4 linked regions of the Canis lupus familiaris genome follow. The protein of the gene in region 1 interacts with the protein of each later gene in a pairwise test. Links are inferred from orthologs where the notes say so. Each region holds a gene or a part of one and is shown in the gene's direction. Other genes may lie near its edges.

Region 1 (4,706 bases):
ACTATTTCCCAGCCATATGGCCTGGGGAAGTCCTCTGATCTCTGAGGGTCTGACTCAGGTTCTGTCTGAACAGTAGGGGAAAGAGTACCCACCTCACAGGGCTGTGGACAGATTGAATAAGGTGTGATGCATGGGAAGTGCCTGGCAGAGGGTCTGGCACGTACTGGATACTTAAAGGTGGGCTTTCTCCCTTCCTTGTTAGAAAATGCAGACTGCCTCAAGGCTTCAGTGTGCTCATATATGATTCACCAGTGTGGGGTAGTGTGTGGGGTACTCCAATCCCTTGACAAAGAACGCTTAAGAGCACATAAAATACCTTATAGGACACTAGGGTTCTCCAAAACACAGCTTGTAAAATGCTGCTCTGAAGTATCTGATGCAGAAGGAAATACTAGGACCTACATCTGAAATGTATTACCACTTTTTATTACATTCATGTCTTTCTCTGTTAAGCTGTGAGTGGTGTGGCCATCACTGCAGATGCCCCATTCCAGCCGTAGGGTCCTGTAGCGTGAGCTTATCCTTTGGTTGCCGAGGAAGCAGCAGACACACAAGCTGCCCGCTGGAGCCGTGTTGCTGTGGTCTCCCAGCTCCCCTTGCCTAAGTCACAGCTATGGGAATAAGGCCCCCGACTCTGGTGTCTACATCCTTAGCTGTACCAGGAGAAGGAACCACAGGGGTTGGGATGTGTTGGCACCTTCCCCAGCACAGAGCAGCAGAGCAGCCACAGGACCCACTTTTGCCTCTCACTTCCCAGCTCTGTGGCCCTCGGCCTGAAGCTTCACCCCACTGACACTCATTGCAGTGAGGATGGTGCTAGAACCTCCCTCCTAGGGTCAGAAGGGCTCAGTGTGACTATGTGGCTGTTCCCCAGGCGTACCTGAGATGCCTGAATTTCTTCTTGCCTTCAATCACTGGATGGGTATTTGCTGAACACCCTGTTTCATGTGCCCTGTGCCTAGGTATTGGGTCACAGAGGTGAATCTGCCCCTTTGGGAGCCCCCTATTTAGCAGTCTGAGGCCTGTCTGACCAGCCTGTCTGGCTAACCCTCTCCCTCTGGGCGCCATGCAGGTCCCGGAGCCAGTGGGAGACTTCCAGCCAAGCTACTACCCGCTGCCGCCGCCGCCGCCACCTCCACCACCACCGCCGCCGCCTCCACCACCACCGCCGCCGCCACCACCGCCGCAGCCTCAATTTCTCCCACCAGGCTTCTTGTCTGCGCTCCACTTTCTGCCGCCTCTGCCACCGCCGCCACCACCGGCATCTTTCTCTCTCACCATTCTGTCTGATACAGACAAGGAAACCACTGGTAAGAGGGCCCCAGGCTTTCAGCTTCTGGGGAGCCAGGAGGACTTCCTGGAGGAAGGGGGCCTAATCACAAAGTAGAGGTGGAGAGCAGAATTTAAAATGCATTGGGTCTGGGGATGAGCTCTTCAGTTATATCCCTCTTTTTATTCCATATGCAAGCATCCAAGAGGGGCTCCCCAGTCTCAGGTGAGAAAACCAATGGAACCCTGAGAGGTTCTCACATATGTAAATGGAAGATGGCAGCGCTTGGATCTCCACAGAATTCTGTCTGGCTCCGGAGCTCATGCTAATTCCCAATCCCCCCCACCCCCACCCCTTATCAGGGCCTGTGGGCAGAGATGTGAAGGATGGCATTCCTGTGGTGTGTTCAGGAGACCAGCTGTGCCAGGCTGCTCTGGCTCAGCTGGGGCTATTCTAGAGAGGGAAGCAGCAGATGCTGAGGCTGGGGCAGCAGCTGGAACTGGGTGGGGGTTGCTAGGGATAAGTCCTCGTGGAGAGAAACCGGCCAGGAGCCAGGGACCCTGTCCTTCATTGCTCTGCCACTGGCGCACTGGGTGACCTCAGGCCCTCCCACTCACTCGAGGCCTGTCTCCTCATCTGTAAAATGGGTCCTGTTAACAGGGTTATTGTGGTAGTCAATATTAGAGGTAAAAGTGCTTTAGGTTTTCTTACGAGGGTTCTTGCAGCTTTAAAGGTTCTAGGATTTTTTTTTCCCCTTTCAGTCCTTCCCTGAGGCTCCCTAGGAAAAGGAAGTGAGGCCTTCTGTACACACGTGCTGTGTTTGAGATGCCTAGATAGGCAGAGATGGTGTGTGGCTTGAAGCATGCTGGCCCCAGAGCCAGACAGTAGCTTTGTGACCCGCGGCAAGGTCATTCAGTCCTTGGAGCCTCCCCCCTCCCTCACCTTCTGCAGAAGTGGGCTTAACGGCCCCACCTCAGGAGGTGATTCTGAGGACCCATCTGAACCTGCACCCCAGGACGGCATTTGTGTTCATTCTCCCTGTTTCCTGTCATCCCCTGCTGACCTGACGTTGGGAGGGCAGATCTCATTCCCCAGAAGCGTGCAGAAGTTCAGAGCCTCGGGGTAGCTTGCTCCTGGCCACCCAGCTGGCGACAGGCAGAGCCAGAGTGTGAGCTGGAGTCTGTGTTGGGCTGGGGCTAGGCTGCCAGGGTCCGGACACCTGGCCCATGGAGGGCAAAGGCATTCTCCGCAGAGGCTGGGAACCCTGAGAATGCCTGACCAAAAGTTTGCATCTGAAAGTAGGTAATTCCCCTGTTTGTAAATCCAGCCCCTCTTTGTCCTTCACAGATGGCCAGGATGCAGGGGTACCAGAGGAGCCCGGGGTGCCTGAGGCGGAGGCGGGGGCCCCTGAGGCGGAGGACCCTGAAGCGGAGGCGGGGGCCCCTGAGGTGGAGGCAGAGGCGCCTGAGGCAGAGGCGGAGGTGCTGCCGGGTGAGCCCAGCCAGCTGCCTTCCAAGGAGCAGTCCAACTAGGCCCTGGCATGCTTGGGCCAGCGGGGTGGGGGTTGCGGGTGTTGCAGCAATGATGTTCTTAACGGGTTTGGGGATGTGTAGGGAGGAAGGGTAGTAGTAGACATAAAATGGCAGTTTAATTTCCATTTCAAGACAGGAGGGAGGAAGGTGATTTCTAAGGTTCTCTCTATCCAGAGACGTGGGATTGACCAGGAACATGGAGGATGGTTAGCAGGGGAGGGCCAGGGCTTTGAGGATTGGGGGGCTGGTGGAAGCTCACATTTAGGAATGAATTTAACTGAGTCTGGGTTGTGCTGCTGTTAGACTCACTCCCAGAAGTGGTCTTTGATTTCCTCGGGCCCGCTCCAGGACAGGAGGCACCATCTATTTCAGCCTTCTGCTTCCGCCTCTGCTTGGTCCCAGCTGGGGGCAGCACAAACACTGAGCCCCAAGCACATCCAGGTGGTTTGTGTGGGCAGCTGGGACCAGGTGCTGACAGCAGGTTCTACAGCGTCCTTCCCTGCTGCTCTATCTCTTGTGAGGGCTGCCTGGCCACTGCCTCTCGCCCCTTCTCCAAGGGGCTGCACCAAGCATTCTGACTGCTGGGGCTGCCTCCTCTCCTCTCCATAAAGTTTAAGCCACTATAGGCATCTTTTCTGGTTAAAAAAAATCTATTAAAGTTTGACTATTTGATATTTTTATAGTGATTGCCAACTTTAAAAAGTAGGCTGTTTGTAAGCACTGATGCAGTTCTCAGAAGAGAATGGTGCTTCTAAATCATCTATGTATCCATTTCTTCTCTGGGGACAGTTGACTGTTGAAATAAAATAAGCAGTGGAAATCATCGTGCAAGTTTCATTTTCTTTAAGTCTTGTGGAAGGTGGTTTTGGGGAGAGCGTCTGGGCCTGGCAAGTCCCTTCCTGGCTTACCTCCCCTTTCCCTGTTGCCAAGGGAGAGGGTTGGGCCAGGCTACTAGATTTCTGTCTGTCGTTGATATTCCCACCATTTTTCTTAAGCAGTGGAGACCTTTTGAGGACATTGCAGACACACAAGATGTAAAGATTTCTTTTAGTTTCCCTCACTCAGCTGTGGGGGTGGTCAGAAGTTGGGATCTCAACTCTATCTTAAAGGTGAAAGTAGGCATTCCTGGGGGGTGGGTGCAGAAAGAGTAAGGGACCTGGAGTGAAGGATTCTGGGTGAGACACTGTGTCCTGTCCTCTGTCCAGGGGCAGACTGGCACTCAAACAGGCCAGTCTGCATGCCACCTGGCTTGTAGGCAGGGGTGTCCCAGAATCCCCAGGACAAGCGGCAAGATGATCGCTGAGAAATGCTCTCTGTTCTCCCAACATGAGTGTCCTGGCTGGGCCTCGGCCTGCTCTGTTGGCACTGGAGCAGGATCTAGTCCTAGAAGGTTTCTGTCCCTGCTTTTTGGGCAGTCCTAGCAGGGCCGACCCAGGCACTGAGGCCTGCAGGGCAGCATTGTCTTGTCTCTGCCTGATGCTGTGATGTTGGACTAGCCTGGCTTTGAGGCTGAAGCCCCCCAATGCTTCCTGCATAATAGCACTGGTCCTGTCTTGGGGTCCACAGCCCTGAGGAGCCCTGGGTTCCAGATGGCCTCACCCTGCCCCGTCAGTATGGCCAAGTAGGGCTGGATCAGTGCCCCTCCGTACTCCTTCATTACACTGCTTTATCTTAGACTCCCTGTTTTGAAGATTTTCACCCAAGCTGCATTAATCAAAGTATTTCTGATCTGCAATACACAGGTCTGAGAGTCTGGCCACATGGACTCCAAAGCATTCCAGACCGGGGCAAGGAAATAGGATGTTTATTCAGTCTGTGGGGTTGAGAAGGGGCGCTCTGGAGGCTGAGAAGGACAGTGTCCTGTTGCTGAAATCCGTGTCCACAGAACTCCAGGGAGGGGAGGA
Region 2 (5,352 bases), on another chromosome or scaffold:
TCTGGGGGTTAAAGCTCTAAGGCCTATACAGCTGCAGGTTTTGTCTGAAGGGACATTTATTTATTTTTTCAAAAGATTTTATTTATTTATTCATAAGAAAGAAGGGAGGAGAGGAGAGGAGAGAGAGAGAGAGACAGAGACAGAGACAGAGACACAGGGAGAGGGAGAAGTATGCTTCATCCAGGGAGCCTGACGGGGGACTCAATTCCCGGTCTCCAGGATCACACCCCGGGCTGAAGGCAGCGCTAAACTGCTGGGCCACCAGGGCTGCCCCTGAAGGGACATTTAAAAAAAACTCAAACTCCTTAAATGTCACCGAGTAGTACACTTTAAAATGGTCCATCATATGTTATGTGAATTTCAAGTCAACAAAAATTCGAAGCAAGCTCTATTTAATGTCTCTTGTTTTGGACAAAAGAGACCGGTAACCTGTTAGCTACTAAACATTTAGACAAGGATGGTTTATGACCACAGGTGCCTTGAGGGGAGGCTGGACAGCTGGAGTTGAAAACTGGGCGGTGATGGCATAGCACAGCATGCTGGATGCAGAGGGGCCTCACCTGAACAGAAAGGTGCCTGGGGAAGGTGGATCCTATAAAGGAGACTGCTTTCCTGGTTTTGCCCACTTGGAAAGTGGAGATGTTAGCTTGGACACTGGAAGGCTGAGACAGAGGGTTGGGACATTAGGGCCATGCCAGAAAGAAGCAGTTCCTGTATGAGTTCACAGAGCACAGAACAGACTGCCCTCTGAGGCTTCAGATCTTGTGGTCCAGCCCCTGTTCTTTGGGGATCAACTGGAGCCTGGGGGCAGAGAGGGGAAGCGGCAGCTCCCCATCACCTCCTCCTCTTCCTCTTTTGGTCCACACGGTCTGCAGTGGCAGCAGCCCACCTGTCTGCTCACCCTATCTGACCTGGATGCTTTCTGGTGGTCCCATCCTCATGGATGGAGCTGAGACATGGCCGCTCCGTCTCTCCAAAGCTGGGTGCACCATCCTCATCAATGGCTGTGTTGTCTCAGTGCACTCTTTATGTGGACTCACATGAATTTCCTTGCCCAGCTAAAAATAAACCCTGCAGTTCATCATCAGCCAGGATTAAATACACCACACCGCCAGGCAGGTGACTTGGCCCATTCCTATTGGTCAATTCAGAGCAGTGACTTCCTTCTCTGCAAGCAGGCTCTCTCTCTCTCTCTCTCTCTCTCTCTCTCTCTCTCTCTCTCTCTCCACACACACACACACACACACACACACACACCCAAAAAACAAAAAAAACCTCCCCTACACACAGATACACAAAACCACTCAGGATCTATTTCTGTCACTAAGCACACAGCAGGGTATGATTATAAAGAGGCTCCTGATCATTGACTTTCTGTTTGAAGAGAGCTGGCCTGTGAGAATAGTACGAGGGATCTTTGGGTTTGCCCTGAGTGGTGACTTCTCTCCACCCTATTTGACAGCTCCCCTGAGACACTGCAGCCACTCAAACCCCAGGAGGAAGCAGTGCACATCAGCCAGGCATATGCACCAAACTTCCTCTTTCTCCTTCTGCATATGAACACTCCCAAGTCATTAAAAGAAAACTAATGTTGAGCACTGTCCAAGACCGAGGCCCACGCTGGGCCCTCACTGGTTTGTCTAAACCCATCTTCCCATGACTGACAGTGGGGGGTGGGCAGGGTACTTAGTGCTATTTATGCTTTATCTATAGAGGTGGGATCTGAGATGGCCAGCAGAGCTTCTGCTTCATACTTGGGTCTTGTACAGAGCCTGGGGATCCTCATCTCTGACCATATCACAGAATTTTTTTGGACATCAAAACAACTTAGAGAAACAGACAGCCTGGTTTCCATGATGATGTACCACATTTCAGTAATAGCCTGTGCATGCTCTCATGCAATCCTCTTAATTATGCACATTAGAATTTACCTCATTAAAGACGCAGATGGAAAGACATGAGGTTTTCTTTTTTTTTAAAAAACCGTCTATTTTGCAAAAAGAGGACCAGAAGGTGTGGCCTCTTTTAACTGGATCAGAATTTCTCTTTTTTTTTTTTTTAAATTTTTATTTATTTATGATAATCATACAGAGAGAGAGAGAGAGAGGCAGAGACACAGGCAGAGGGAGAAGCAGGCTCCATGCACCGGGAGCCCGATGTGGGATTCGATCCCGGGTCTCCAGGTCGCGCCCTGGGCCAAAGGCAGGCGCTAAACCGCTGCGCCACCCAGGGATCCCTGGATCAGAATTTCTAGGGAAATTTTAAAATGCCCAGACTTACTAGGATAGCGTTTCTCAAAAAAAAAAAAAAAAAAAAAAAGAAGCATCCTGTGGAAGATGGGGGCTTGAAAATTCTGCCTGGAAAAAAGGATTCTTGGCTGAAACACTTTTGGGGATCCCATGGCCTGTTCTTACAGAAGCATCATGCAAATTTGCTTCGTAGAGTCTCTAATACCTTTTTAAACAAGCTGTAGATGTTTTCAGAACTTTTGTTTCATCCAGCATTCTTAACTTACTTAGACCTTAGAAACCTTTTCTTATACACCTATTAATGTGACACAGAATCAGTGCTTCCGAAAAACCACCCTAGGAAATGCTGCTGCAGAGCAGGTAAGGGGGAAGATTTGAACTGGGATTGTGAACCAAGATTGTGGTGAACTAAGATTGTGGCAATCGGCTAGGGCATCATGTTAGGAAGGGTTCTGAGGACCAGTCTGGCCATTAGGCTAGCGATCCCTGGTCTGGGTGGTGGATGAGGGAGGCCCTGTGCCAGCAGCCCTGATCTGAGACATAACTTGTATTTTCTTCTCGCTAAGAATCCTTCAGGTTTGACTAACTGGTTTGGATCCTCCTCCAGCAAGAACCTGGACCTGATGCTGGGTGATTCCTGGCTCTTGACTTCCTTTGGTTTGTTCAGGTTCATAGAGTGTTTCCCAACGGGCTGGCCTCCCAGGAGGGGACTATTCAGAAGGGCAATGAGGTTCTGTCCATCAACGGCAAGTCCCTCAAAGGGGCCACACACAACGATGCCCTGGCCATCCTCCGCCAAGCTCGGGACCCCAGGCAAGCCGTGATCGTCACGCGGAAGCCGGCTCTGGAGGCTGCGCCCGACCTGAACTCCTCCACGGACTCTACGGCCTCAGCCTCGGTGGCCAGCGATGTTTCTGTAGATCCCAGTAAGTGCCCCGAGCTCGGTGGGAGCCCCGTGGGTCACGTTGCCCTTGGCCACGTGGGGCCAGTACTGCTGGGGCTGCTCCATGATGCGCGGCCGGCCCGGGACACTGCTGGGGGGTGTGTCTGTGCTCACAGGCGTGCGGGCCCGGGCGGGGCTGCAGATCCAGCGGGCACGAGGCCCAGGCGTCTGTGGGCTGGCGCGGAGGGCACCCCTCACCTGGCCCTGTGCTTCCCCTGCAGCAGAGGCCACGGTACACACGGTGACACTGGAGAAGACCTCTGCGGGCCTGGGCTTCAGCCTGGAAGGTGGGAAGGGCTCCTTGCTCGGGGACAAGCCTCTCACCATTAACAGGATTTTCAAAGGTGGGTGTGTGTCGGCTCCTTGCGTTCTCTCCTGCTGCGAGTGTTGGGCCGGGCCCCTGCAAGGCTGCTAGGCGCCTGCTGGCCAGGCAGGGGGCCACTTGGGGACTGGATTCAGCTCTTTTTACCGGTTCTCCTCGGCTCGGGACAGCCCCTTACCCCTTCTATTTCTCTGGGTCCTCATGACAGAGCCCTGGGCTTGATTCAGCCTGGCAGGCCCGCCCAGCAGGGACTAGGCCGAGATCCGAGAGGCACAGCCCAGGGCACAGCCCTGCAGGGACCCCCACACCCGTGATAGCTTATTTCAGTGTGTTATTTTTATTTTTAATTTCTTAATTATTTTTTAAAGATTTTAGTTGCTGATTCATGAGACAGAAGAAGCAGAGACACAGGCAGAGGGAGAAGCAGGCTCCCTGTGGGAGCCCGATCTGGGACTCGATCCCAGGACCCTGGGATTGCGACCTGAGCCAAAGGCAGATGTTCAACCCCTGAGCCACCCAGGTGGCCTCAGTGCGATATTTCTAAAAATTAAAATTAATGAAAAAATCCATAAGGAACAAAATATCAAAGTTTAAAATAAGGATGGAGTCTGACTTTCCACTTGTACACACTCGGCCTTACTCCTTTCCCCCTGATCCTGGACCGGTCAGCTCCCTTTATTCAAAACTCTGACATTTTGTTCATTGTGGGCTGAGGTGCAAGCTGGCCTAAAGTGGGGGTCACTCGGGTTTTCCCTCGAACATTGTGAACGGCCTGCAGCTCCCACAGAGAACCACCCAGGCTCTTCCCAGCTTCTCAGGCTGGAGCAAAACACAAAACAGGGACATGTGCACAGAGAGAGCACAGAGCAGGAGCCTAGGCCCTGGGTTCCAGCTCAGCCTCTCACTTACTGAGTGACTGCTGTCTCTGGGGCCAGAGGCTCCTCATCCACACAGAGGTGTGGGGTGTGTCTGTGCCCCGGGTGCACGGAGGCTCACTGTGGGGAGGGGAGTCTCCAGGAATCCGTGTTTATTCCAACTCTGGGAAAGACAGTTTAACTTTTGAAGGTGGACTTGGGCTCAGCATGTGGCTCAAAGTCCAGAGGCCAGGTTTCTGGTGTTAGGAGCTGTGCTCCTAACAGCAGCATGATCCTGGACAGGCCTCTACTTAGCAGCCCAGGCCCATCTGCGGACACTGGGCTGGGCCTACCAGCTGCAAGGAGATGGGGACTCTGGGGCGGAGAGTCTGGGTTCAAACCTGGGCCACAATACCTAGCAGCTCTGAAGCTCAGCTGGTTACCTGCATCCTCGGGGTCCTCACAGGTGAAAGGGGACTACTACCACCCAAACAGTGTTAGCAGATCACCTGAGACACACAAGGGCCCGATATTCTCCAGCACTTCTGCATTCTCATTACTATTAGCTTCTATTCATACTCCTGAATATCATTGTATCAAATGGATAGAAAATCCTTCGATAGAAACAATAAAATAACACTCTTTCCACAAGCATCTTTGAATGAGTGGGGGCCATATATGATTATGTCCTCTTCACATGGACCCAGGGGTCTTCTCCAGGCCGTTCAGAGACAGCGCACTGCGAAGGTTCACCAGCCCCCTTCCCACACTGCCCAATGCCTGGCGAGCTCATCAGAAGGCAAGAGACTGCATGTGAACAGAAGGGGTTGGGCTGGTGTCCGAGGAGGGGGGTCAGTTCCCCAAAGGCCTCTATGACCCACAGAAGTCTCCTCAACTGAGCTTGGGGCTGCCCAGAACCTCCCTTCTCTGGGGACACAGAGGCTATACCTTTCCCAAGGGCCATGGAGCTAGAGCCTGGTGTGC
Region 3 (5,352 bases), on another chromosome or scaffold:
TGTACAGATTGGAGAACAGATACTATTAACATAATATTGTAGTAGTTTTGGTAATACACCAATAATGACTAGAAGAAGAGTGATGTGACAACAGTAAATGGAAAGGGTAGAGCAAATCCAAGGTAAATGGAATGGTCAGAGACAATCCAGGTTTTTTAAGCCTGTCACCGTTGCATAGTTATTAAGAGCTTTCACTTTTGAATGCCTTGTGGCTTGGACAGTGGTAATACTACCATTCTACCATTCTAACTTGGCCCTAAAGGTAGATTTGCTTTAGAATGGTAGTATTTACTAACTGAGGAAGGGAGGAATGTTGGCATAAAAGAGCAGAATAAATATTCAAATTTTAGAAATTCTTATGATTATAATTTTATTAAATTTTCCATTTTGGAAAATTAAACAGAATTCTCACATATGAATACCACCATCATGTTATATGTTTAAAATACCAGTTTGGTGGCAGAGTGAGGGAGGTTGCTTGGTTTTTTGTGGGTTGTTCCCCCCCCCCCCCTTTAATGATCACATTGAGTTTTTGAATCTTCTACAAAATGATAGATCCTAAAGAGAATAAATGTACTATATTTAATCTTAACTAATATTTATTCCATTTAGCACAGCTTTTGGGGGAACTTTAATAAATCAGTGTAGTTTACATAAAAAATTTCCAAACAGAAATGTAGCTAGTGGCTACATGTTGAGAGAGTATCCTTTGTATCAGTACGTCAGCACCTTTTGGTTCCCTAATCTTTCCTTCCTCCTCCCCCCACAATTGAAGCAGGTGGCTATAGTCCCATAATCCCTATTTTAAGGCTGGTGAGTACATATGGCTGTGATGTGTACAGACCATCTTAAGTGCTTACTACTACTCTTGTGTTTTCCATGTATAGGCAGAGGGAGAAGACAGCCTGAAGAAGATGCAGCTGATGGAGCTTGCAATTCTGAATGGCACCTACAGAGATGCCAACATTAAATCACGTAAGAATGAGACTGAGGTCCATGGTTACAGCTGAATCAATTATTTTGTCCACAAACCTTTTCTCCTGTTGGCAGTGCAGCACACGAGCTTCACACTATGTGAAGAGTCGAAATAATTATCACTTAATAAGGGACTCACAGTCCCATTTTTACTGCTTTCATGAATTGGGGACAGTCTCCTTTATTTGATGCCAGCATGTCTAAGTTTGGAGTTTATAAACTTTTATTATTTCAATGATATTTCAACTTCTAAATTTAAAAGTTTCGGGAAATTTCCTATTCTTTTAACTACAGATTTAAGGCTTCGAGCTTATTGTTATATTTATGCAAAAGAGAAAATAATTTTTAGACTTTTTTTTTTAAAAGCTGATTTGGAATGTATATGAAAGCAGTGACCCTTTTGTCGAATTCTGTCCTCTCACCATGCTTGCTAATGTTCCCCTCCGGTATTTTTCTCTGTTGATTTTGTATATGAGCTGAATTCACAGAGAGCAGTAGATGATACTGTTTTAATCCCATTTTTCCTTTAGATATATCTGTGGACGCTTCCTAAACTTGAAGAGGATTGCTTTTTTTATTTTTTGAGGCAGTTGAAGGTTTACAGTTCTTTTAATGAACGTAATTATTTAAATTACTAGTTTTTTGTTTTGTTTTGTTTTTTTAAGAACTAGAATTTTTTTTTTAAGATTTTATTTATTTATTCATGAGAGACACAGAGAGAGAGAGAGGCAGAGACATAGGCAGAGGGAGAAGCAGGCTCCATGCAGGGAGCGCAATGTGGGACTCCATCCCGGGCCTCCAGGATCATGCCCTGAGCCGAAGGCAGACGCTTAACCGCTAAGCCACCCAGGCGTCCCAAGAAATAGAATAGGTGTCCAAAATAGAGGCAATTTACTAGATTCAGAAGTGGTTACTTTACAAATATTTGGCTTTAATTTATTCATGAGAATGAGTATATCATTAATAGTCTTATGCTTAGGAATGGGACATTTTTTATATTGTTTTTTGTATGAAGTTCATACAGATGCAAGAAGTTTATATAAATAAAACTAGTCGTTGGCTAACTTAATACAGTAAAAATTATTCTTTTTTTTCATTTGAAACTTAAGTTTTTCTTTAGAAATATACCAAAGCTGTATTTCTATGGACTCCCAATTCCAAAATTTTTTAACTTCTTTTAATGCGAGTATTTCCATGTGCTTTTGCATGTACCTTTAGTCTCAGGAGATCTTAAAAACACAGATATATCAAATACATGAACTAAATATAACCTATTTTAATGGTCTCATTCTTTTTTTTTTTTTTTTTTACAGTGGCTTGTTAATTTTTGCACATTTATTCTTAATCACACTGGGAAAGGGGAAGCTGTTTGCATTTGATCAGTGTGCTTTGGCATTTTGTGTGATCAGCGCATGTACTAATGATTTCCTTTTATTTTTCTTCTTTCCTGCTTCTCCTTTCTTTTTCCTACTTCCCTCTCATTTTCCATATTTTATACTGCTGTCTCTACACTTCTCCTACATTTCTTTGCTTACTGTAGCAGCCCTTGCCTTTTCTCTTGCAGCAACAGCCCAGGCTGCTCCAAGGATTATCACTGGGCCTGCGCCTGTTCTCCCACCAGCTGCCCTGCGTACTCCTACGCCAGCTGGCCCTACCATAATGCCTTTGATCAGACAAATACAGACCGCTGTCATGCCAAACGGAACTCCTCACCCGACTGCTGCAATAGTTCCTCCGGGGCCCGAAGCTGGTTTGATCTACACACCCTATGAGTACCCCTACACGTTGGCACCAGCGACATCCATCCTTGAGTATCCTATTGAACCTAGTGGTGTATTAGGTAAGTTGTTCTCCCTGTGTGGCTGGCAGTTTATTTCTTCATGACTTCTGTGCTTCAGACTTTGAAATGATTATATCCGTTTTGGAGAGGCAAGACAAGTTTCCATTAGGAAGACAGAAGCCTAAAGTTTGTTTTATTTCAGCCTCTCTTAATGGCTCCCTTTTTAAAGAATTGCACCTTAGGTGTGCTCAGATTCTCTTTGGTAACTCAGATTCACTTTGAGTAAATCAGCTATGAACACTTAAACGGAAAGTACTTTTCACTTTTGACATCACTGAGGTCGTTCTGAGTTTGGCCTATCCCCTCCATTTGCTCCACTGCCCACAGTTAGATTCCTTTCGTCTCAGGGAATTAGTTGGTTGTCATCTAAATTTTAAATTTCTGTGTGGAAATATTTTGAGATCTTTTTTATAACTGCTGTTATTGTCTGTGTGTTTTCTAATATTTGTGATCACGTAAATATGAAAGAGACCAGGTAAATTAGTTGGATTCTTCAGCTTCTCAGTTTTTCTCTCTTGAAGTTATTAGTTAATGTCAAACATAAAAGAAATTCCTAATTTCAGTAGTACAGTATGGAATTGATAAGTAAATACCAAGTCACTGTTTTAGAATCACCTTTGAGGCAAAAATTAAGATCATAGTATGAACGCTTGGTTTTACATGAACAAAAAGTGGTGTGCTTGAAAAAGACATTACTGATGCCTTTTTTTTATAGAGTGGATTGAAATGCCAGTCATGCCTGATATTTCAGCCCATTGACTTGCTGGATGAAGGACTAGAATACAGCAGCTGTTATAACACGACCAGTCAATGTGGGACAAACTGTTTCCGTGCTGCCCCTTTGTTTTACCAGACAGAATATGAATACTTTTTTTCCTTGAATTGTATATGACCTTGGTGCTGCATGCATGCTGTTGACTCTTAGGACTTTGATCTTTTAAGGTTTTTTTTTTCCAGCATTAATACTGATCTATAAAAATTTGAAAGTCTTTAATGAACCCGGACACTAAGATTTAAACTTGAAAATTCATTGTTCAATTAAAGAAAGCCACAATGCTCTGTATGTTATCTGTGTGTGTGCATGCACTCAGGTGCCTTTTGTTTCATGAGCAAATACATTTTATTGTACATGTTTTCCGTTTTATCTCTAAATCATTGTATAAAGTATCATAAGTCAGAATTTATAGAATTGTTTATGAGAAGCTTGTTTCTGTTGCACATTTCTTGAAGCATTTTTAAAATAACCTGTAACCTGTAACCTGTTTACGTCTTCCTTTCTGTTAACGCTCTGTCTTGTGGCCCCATGCCTGCTCCTTTCCCCAGAGCTCCTCTCTGCTGCACGCACAGCGTCTGTTCGAGGAGTTGGTTGCTTCCTGCAGGGCTGGCACTCTTAGCCACCAGCTGCTGTTCCAGCACTCTCAATGCAAGATCTCGCTGATTTTGCCTCGTGGAATTCTACTTGTATAAGATTAGTTTATCTAAAATGAAAAAAGGGGTGATGGACCAGTTTACTGCTTAGAAACAGCAAGAGGCACTGCAGTTTCTCATTTTAAGCAATGTGTTTTTTGTTGTGTTGGGAAATTTTTATTTGTAATAATTATTAGACTGACAAATTAAAAGCAAAATATATACAGATACCTAATTGGCATTCATAAAATGAATAATAGTACTAAATGATCAAAATCCATTATCAATCCTGTTTCTCGCTTTGCCACCTAAGCAGTAAAACGTGACATTGAGCACTTAGAGAACTGAAAAAATTATTTCAAATTCCTAAGTTATAATAAATTTGCACACAGATAACATGCATGATATATATCAAGTCTCACATCATATTATTTTAAAATAAGCAGTGCCCTTCAAAACAGATGCAGACATGTGTGTTGGTGGTAGTGAGGAGATTGGTATTAGCATCAAATCTTCATTGATGACTAATTTTTAATTCCCTTCCTTTTATCTTTAGGTATGGCTTTCCCAACGAAAGGCTAAGAATTCAAGAACGGTCTTAACTGAACCCTCATCAGATCTGAATTTAACAAATGCTTAGTCTCAGCAGCCTCCGGGGGTGGGGTGGGGGGGAAAGCTTAGCCTAGCAGTCAGTGACTTACTTGCACTTTTTGCACACTGATAGAAAGTAAAAGTATGTTATTAATTTGGTTTAGTCTGTAATCTTACAAAGTAACGGTAATTTATAAAGGAGTGTATAGTAGTATACTGACTGCTAAGTGTACTATACTGTTTGCTTTACTAATCACCTAATTCATTGCAGTTCATACTTATTGACTCAAAGTTTAAAACCACAATCTGTAGGCTTTAAGAATTGCTTTTAAACCTTTTTAAGTGATAAACTCTGGAAGTGGTCTTAAGGTTAGCAAATAATTGTCAGTATTAAACATGGCATTATTTAAGTGGTCCTGCTGCAAGAAAGGCACTTCAGTGAATATGTGACTAGTAAAGCTTAAATATGTTTGGATCTAATAGAATTCATGAAATACTGTAACTTGGGATTGTGAATGAATGGATAAAATAGGTTAAGG
Region 4 (5,352 bases), on another chromosome or scaffold:
CCCCCCCTCAGTGGGGAATCTGCTTGAGATTCTCTCCCTCCCTCTCCCCACTTGCGCATGCTTTCTCTCTCTCTCTGAAATAAATCTTTAAAAAATACATATTTTATACCAATAGCCAATACCATGCTCAAAGGGAAAGCTACAAGTATTCCCTTAAAATAGAAAAAAATAAAGTATGGCCATTATTATATAACATTTATTTGGAAATTCTAGCCAGTACAATAGAGTGAAAATCAGAAGGAAGTAGTAGAACTTTGAAGAGAAGAGTCAAGTTATCCACAATTGATTATATACCAAGAAATTCCAAGAAAACCACAAAAAGAAAACTTGTTAGAACTGTTCTGAAATGATTAGATTATGTCTTCTGGTAGCATCTTTCTTTTGAAAAATGGCCCCTTGACCTTCCTATTTGCCTTAAATTTCTAAGACTGTCTGCCCTGGGCACATATGAGTCTGTAGTCCATCTGTGCTTGTGATCTCAGCTGTGGACCAAAGCATTCCTACATTATTCTTAAGCCAGATACCTTTATGGAAGGCTTAGTCAGGATCTCACATTTTATTGTTCTGTCTATAGCTTCCTGTGATTTCTGTGATGAGAGAAACAGAATCTCAATTGCTACCAGATGTGGGGACTATTGTAACCTGTAAGGTAAGTAGGTCTTAACCTCCCTTCTTAGGACACCTGTTCAATGGTGAAATCATGATCATTGTGGAAGTGCTCTGTCTTATGTGGCAGTCACTAGCCATATGTGGCCATTTAATTGAAATGAATTAAAATTGAAAGTTCATTTCCTCCATCTCACTAGCTACATTCCAAGTGCTCACGTATAGTTGACAGCTGCCTTGTTGGCCAGCACAGAACATTTTAATCATCACAGTGTTACTGGACTGTGCCGGCCTAGAAAGTTCTGGGATAGTGATCAAGGCAGCCAAGTTCAAGCATGCGTAGCTCTTTCACTGAGCTGATTCCCTGAGTATGCAGTTTGGGAAACAGGTGCCAAAGGGTAATAATAATAAGGAAGCCTATTTTTAACATTTAGAAGCTATTTTAGTCTGGAGAGAAGCAAAAGACCTTATAAAGACCTATTAAATTTCATCTTTTAGGGCACCTGGGTGGTCCAGTCAGTTAAATGTCTGCCTTCGGCTCAGGTGGTGATCCTAGGATCCAGCCCTGCATCAGGCTCCCTGCTCAGCAGGGAGTCTGCTTTTCTGTCTCCCTCTGCCCCTTCTCTCCACTCATGCTGTGTCTCTTTCTTTCTCTCAAATAAATAAATAAAATCTTTTTTATTTATTTTTATTTTTATTTTTTTTAAATTTTTATTTATTTATGATAGTCACAGAGAGAGAGAGAGGCAGAGAGAGAAGCAGGCTCCATGCACCGGGAGCCCGACGTGGGATTCGATCCCGGGTCTCCAGGATTGCGCCCTGGGCCAAAGGCAGGCGCTTAACCGCTGCACCACCCAGGGATCCCAATAAAATCTTTTTTAAAAATAAATTTCATCATTTGGGGTGTTTCAGGGGAAATACAAATTAATGCTATACTGATCAGTAACTACAAGACATCCTTACTCTCTGCCCACCCCCATGTTAAGTTAAATCAACTTGAGTTCTTAGTTGCTGTTTATAAATTGTTCCAGCAGAAAATCAATGTGTTATTCTTAAAATAACTGAAGAGGCAGTGATCCAAATATTACACAGTAACTGAAATGTACACTTAAATTCTGTCCACTGGGGATCCCTGGGTGGTGCAGCGGTTTGGTGCCTGCCTTTGGCCCAGGGCGCGATCCTGGAGACCCCAGGATCAAATCCCACGTCGGGCTCCCGGTGCATGGAGCCTGCTTCTCCCTCTGCCTGTGTCTCTGCCTCTCTCTCTCTCTCTCTCTCTGTGTGTGACTGTCATAAATAAATAAAAAATTAAAAAAAAAAGAAATATAAACATTTAAAAAAATTTTTCTGTGCACTGTACCGGGCTCTTGGTAAGATCAGTTAAAGGTCTAGATTTACGGTAATGCCCTGTTTTTATTTGTTAGGCTTCTGTATTTTTCAAGATATATTCCATATTATTTCATTGGATGCCCACAGTAACTTTATTAGGTGGCTGGAGAGACTCTCATTCCATTTGACATATATCATTTATGCAGAATTAAGTAGGAGTTAACTTGTCTTAAATTCTATAATTAGTAGGATTGCTTGGACTAAAACACTGGTAATTCCTTTCTTGCTGCCTCCTTGAACTGACAACTGCTACTACTCTAATGCTGATCTTTTTTCTGTTCCACAGGTCTCTAGCATCAATTCACGCTTTGCCAAAGTGCACATCCTATATGTGGGGTCCACACCACTTAAGAACTCTTTTCGAGGAACTATCCGGTAAGAAGTATTCATGTTTTTGCATTTGCATCAGCACCTGGAATGAGATTAGAATAGAACAGGGATTGAAATTTTTAGGAACAATTACAGTTCCTATATCTACCTGCCTCTCTCTCCTCTTTGTTCTTTGATTCTGTCCAGGTAGTGTCCAAAGGAAATGTTATAATGTATGAGCTAGGACAAAAGGAAAATATTGACAAGATTGGGCTTTAAAATAAAATGAAAAGAATTGAGCTAAGCTGGAAACTAGTGTTGCAGGAAGTTCATATGGAACAAATTAGGGGCACCTGGGTAGCTCAGTGGTTGAGTGTCTGCCTTTGGCTCGGGTCGTGATCCCGGGGTCCTGGGATTGAGTCCTGCACCGGGCTCCCTGCAGGGAGTCTGCTGCTCCCTCTGCCAATGTCTCTGCCTCTTTCTGTATCTCTCATGAATAAATAAAATCTTTAAAAAAAAAAAAAGTTAAAGGCATCTTAAGAAATATCTTCCTTTTTTGTATTTAATATAGTTTAAATCTAAGGATTGAAAGACTTTATTTTTTTTTTTTAATTTTATTTATTTATGATGGGGGGCGGAGAGAGAGAGAGAGAGAGAGGCAGAGACATAGGCAGAGAGAGAAGCAGGCTCCATGCACCGGGAGCCCGACGTGGGACTCGATCCCGGGTCTCCAGGATCGCGCCCTGGGCCAAAGGCAGGCGCCAAACCGCTGCGCCACCCAGGGATCCCGAAAGACTTTATTTTTATTTTTTTTTATTTTTTTAATTTTTATTTATTTATGATAGTCACACAGAGAGAGAGAGAGGCAGAGACATAGGCAGAGGGAGAAGCAGGCTCCATGCACCGGGAGCCTGACGTGGGATTCGATCCCGGGTCTCCAGGATCGCGCCCTGGGCCAAAGGCAGGCACCAAACCGCTGCGCCACCCAGGGATCCCCCGAAAGACTTTAAAAAGGTAAAAAGGTTAGTGGGTGGGCAGCCCCGGTGGCGCAGCGGTTTAGCGCCGCCTGCAGCCCAGGGCGTGATCCTGGAGACCCTGGATCAAGTCCCACGTCAGGCTCTCTGCATGGAGCCTGCTTCTCCCTCTGACTGAGTCTCTGCCTCTCTCTCTCTCTGTCTCTATGAATGAATAAATAAATAAAATCTTAAAAAAAAAAAAAAAAAAAGGTTAGTGGGTGAGGGGCACCTGTCTGGCTCAGTCAGTAAAGCATGTAAGTCTTGATCTCGGTGTTTTGAGTTCAGGCCCCATGTTGGGCATAGAGATTACTTAAAAATAGAATCTTAGAGGTGCCTGAGTGGCTCAGTTGGTTGAGCGACCGACTTGTGATCTCAACTCAGATCGTGATCTCATAAGCTGTCGTCAGATCAAGCCTCGTGTCTGGCTCTGCAGTCAGTGAGGGGTCTGCTTGAGATTCTCTCCCTCTGTAAAATAGGGTGCACGCTCCCCCCCCCCACTCATGGCATATGCACTCTTTCTCTCTCTCTGTAAAATAAATAAATCTTAAAAAAATAAAATATATTTTTAAAAAGGTGAGTGGAATGGTAGGGTTTTGTTTGTTTTTTCCTGTAGGTTTTTAAAGTAGAGACCAACAATTCTTGTGAGCTAGATATAGCTTCTAAGGCTCTTTCCACCCTTAGGATTCCATGTTGGTTCTGTAGTGCTTCTGTACAAGCTTTCCTAAGGCAGCAAAGTTCCTTATTCTTTCCTGCCAAATCTGATCTGCTTTTCTCTAGTCAAAGGTATTGATACTGCTGCTCTGTGTGACCCAAGAATGGGAATGTGGTTTTCTCCTCCAGGGGAGGACTTGGAATGCTTCTCCACCCCACTTCTGGGTGGCCTTTGGGTCCCAATTATGATTTGTTCTCTCTATTCTTGTAGCTCTCTGTCTGCTATGATTCTGCAGGATAATTCTCACAGATAATTAATCTTTTGTTAATTCTTTTTTATAGCAAGGAAGATGTCCGAGCTACTGAAAAAGACAAGGTTGTTGGTTGGTTCTTTTTTTTTTTTCCCCTTATGACTTTAGGAATCTCGATCCTTTTAAATTACTCCAGGGAATTTCAAACATCTGTGGGAATGTGGATCCAAAGGTCCAAGGAATTTTAAGGTGTTTCCTACTGGAAAGTGTGGAATTCACCTCACTGTCCTTTTCCTTTCCTTAGGATTTTTTGTTTGCTCTATTGAGCAGAAGGGGACTACTTTATTCCTTGCCTTTGAAGCCAGGTGTCTATTCTTTGCTATTCCCTCAGATTTACTTTGTATTCTTTCAGAGCCAACTGTAGTAACTTTTATCTAAGATCCGTTACCAGGTTATTGAATTAAAAATTTTTCATTTAAAAAAATAAAAAATAAAAATCTTTCATTTATATGATGTAAAAGCAATAAAAGTTGTTGATTGGCTTCACTAACGATGACTTCCACCCTGTGGAGTTAAAAAGTACACTGGTTCTACCAGAGGGGCAAATAGTTTCATGTAGATTTGATTTAGAGCTTTCACTTAACATTCCTGTTCTTTCTTTACAGGTTGAGATTTATAAGAGTTTCCGCCCTGGTGACATTGTCTTGGCCAAAGTGGTATCCTTTATTCCAGCAGTCTTGTGGTCCTTTGTCAAAACAAGAAATAGAAGTAGAAAATAACTCAAGTGGCTATGGGAGGGAAGACTTATCACCCATTGTTTTCCTTCACCAGTATTGTGTGACTAGATCTCTCTGGGTGATGCACAATCGAACTACCTCCTGACCACTGCTGAGAATGAACTTGGGGTGGTGGTGGCCCACAGTGAATCGGGTGAGTAGGTCCATACATCCACATGCTTCTCTTTCCCTGGGAGCTACAGTTGGGATTAATTCACTGTTTTCTCTTGTTACCCTGGTTTTAAATCTAGAGCGCAATATGAGTGTCAATCACTTACTACTGAGATTAGAATGATTCTCCTTATATAACTGTAAGGGGGGAATTCACTGCATAAGGCTTTTTCTGTATGAGGT

Evidence for each region.
Region 2: the proteins of DMRTB1 (region 1) and IL16 interact in a two-hybrid assay, tested with the Homo sapiens proteins (2 studies listed by BioGRID). The two-hybrid records come from large-scale screens. The link is inferred for Canis lupus familiaris from reciprocal best matches to the Homo sapiens genes DMRTB1 and IL16.
Region 3: the proteins of DMRTB1 (region 1) and QKI interact in a two-hybrid assay, tested with the Homo sapiens proteins (2 studies listed by BioGRID). The link is inferred for Canis lupus familiaris from reciprocal best matches to the Homo sapiens genes DMRTB1 and QKI.
Region 4: the proteins of DMRTB1 (region 1) and EXOSC1 interact in a two-hybrid assay, tested with the Homo sapiens proteins (2 studies listed by BioGRID). The link is inferred for Canis lupus familiaris from reciprocal best matches to the Homo sapiens genes DMRTB1 and EXOSC1.

What each region holds. Positions count from the first base shown.
Region 1 is NC_049226.1:55,948,466-55,953,171, reverse strand, and holds the end of DMRTB1 (doublesex- and mab-3-related transcription factor B1), read left to right. Parts: intron 1-1,072; coding exon 1,073-1,310; intron 1,311-2,617; coding exon 2,618-2,802; 3' UTR 2,803-3,625; downstream 3,626-4,706.
Region 2 is NC_049224.1:56,952,292-56,957,643, reverse strand, and holds part of IL16 (pro-interleukin-16), read left to right. Parts: intron 1-2,916; coding exon 2,917-3,175; intron 3,176-3,413; coding exon 3,414-3,536; intron 3,537-5,075; coding exon 5,076-5,167; intron 5,168-5,352. UniProt on the Homo sapiens protein: Interleukin-16 stimulates a migratory response in CD4+ lymphocytes, monocytes, and eosinophils. Primes CD4+ T-cells for IL-2 and IL-15 responsiveness. Also induces T-lymphocyte expression of interleukin 2 receptor. Ligand for CD4.
Region 3 is NC_049222.1:52,501,708-52,507,059, forward strand, and holds part of QKI (protein quaking), read left to right. Parts: intron 1-887; coding exon 888-975; intron 976-2,515; coding exon 2,516-2,815; intron 2,816-5,352. UniProt on the Homo sapiens protein: RNA reader protein, which recognizes and binds specific RNAs, thereby regulating RNA metabolic processes, such as pre-mRNA splicing, circular RNA (circRNA) formation, mRNA export, mRNA stability and/or translation.
Region 4 is NC_049249.1:10,915,838-10,921,189, reverse strand, and holds part of EXOSC1 (exosome complex component CSL4), read left to right. Parts: intron 1-574; coding exon 575-649; intron 650-2,281; coding exon 2,282-2,370; intron 2,371-4,313; coding exon 4,314-4,347; coding exon of another isoform or gene 4,348-4,354; intron 4,355-4,887; coding exon 4,888-4,938; intron 4,939-5,067; coding exon 5,068-5,152; intron 5,153-5,352. UniProt on the Homo sapiens protein: Non-catalytic component of the RNA exosome complex which has 3'->5' exoribonuclease activity and participates in a multitude of cellular RNA processing and degradation events.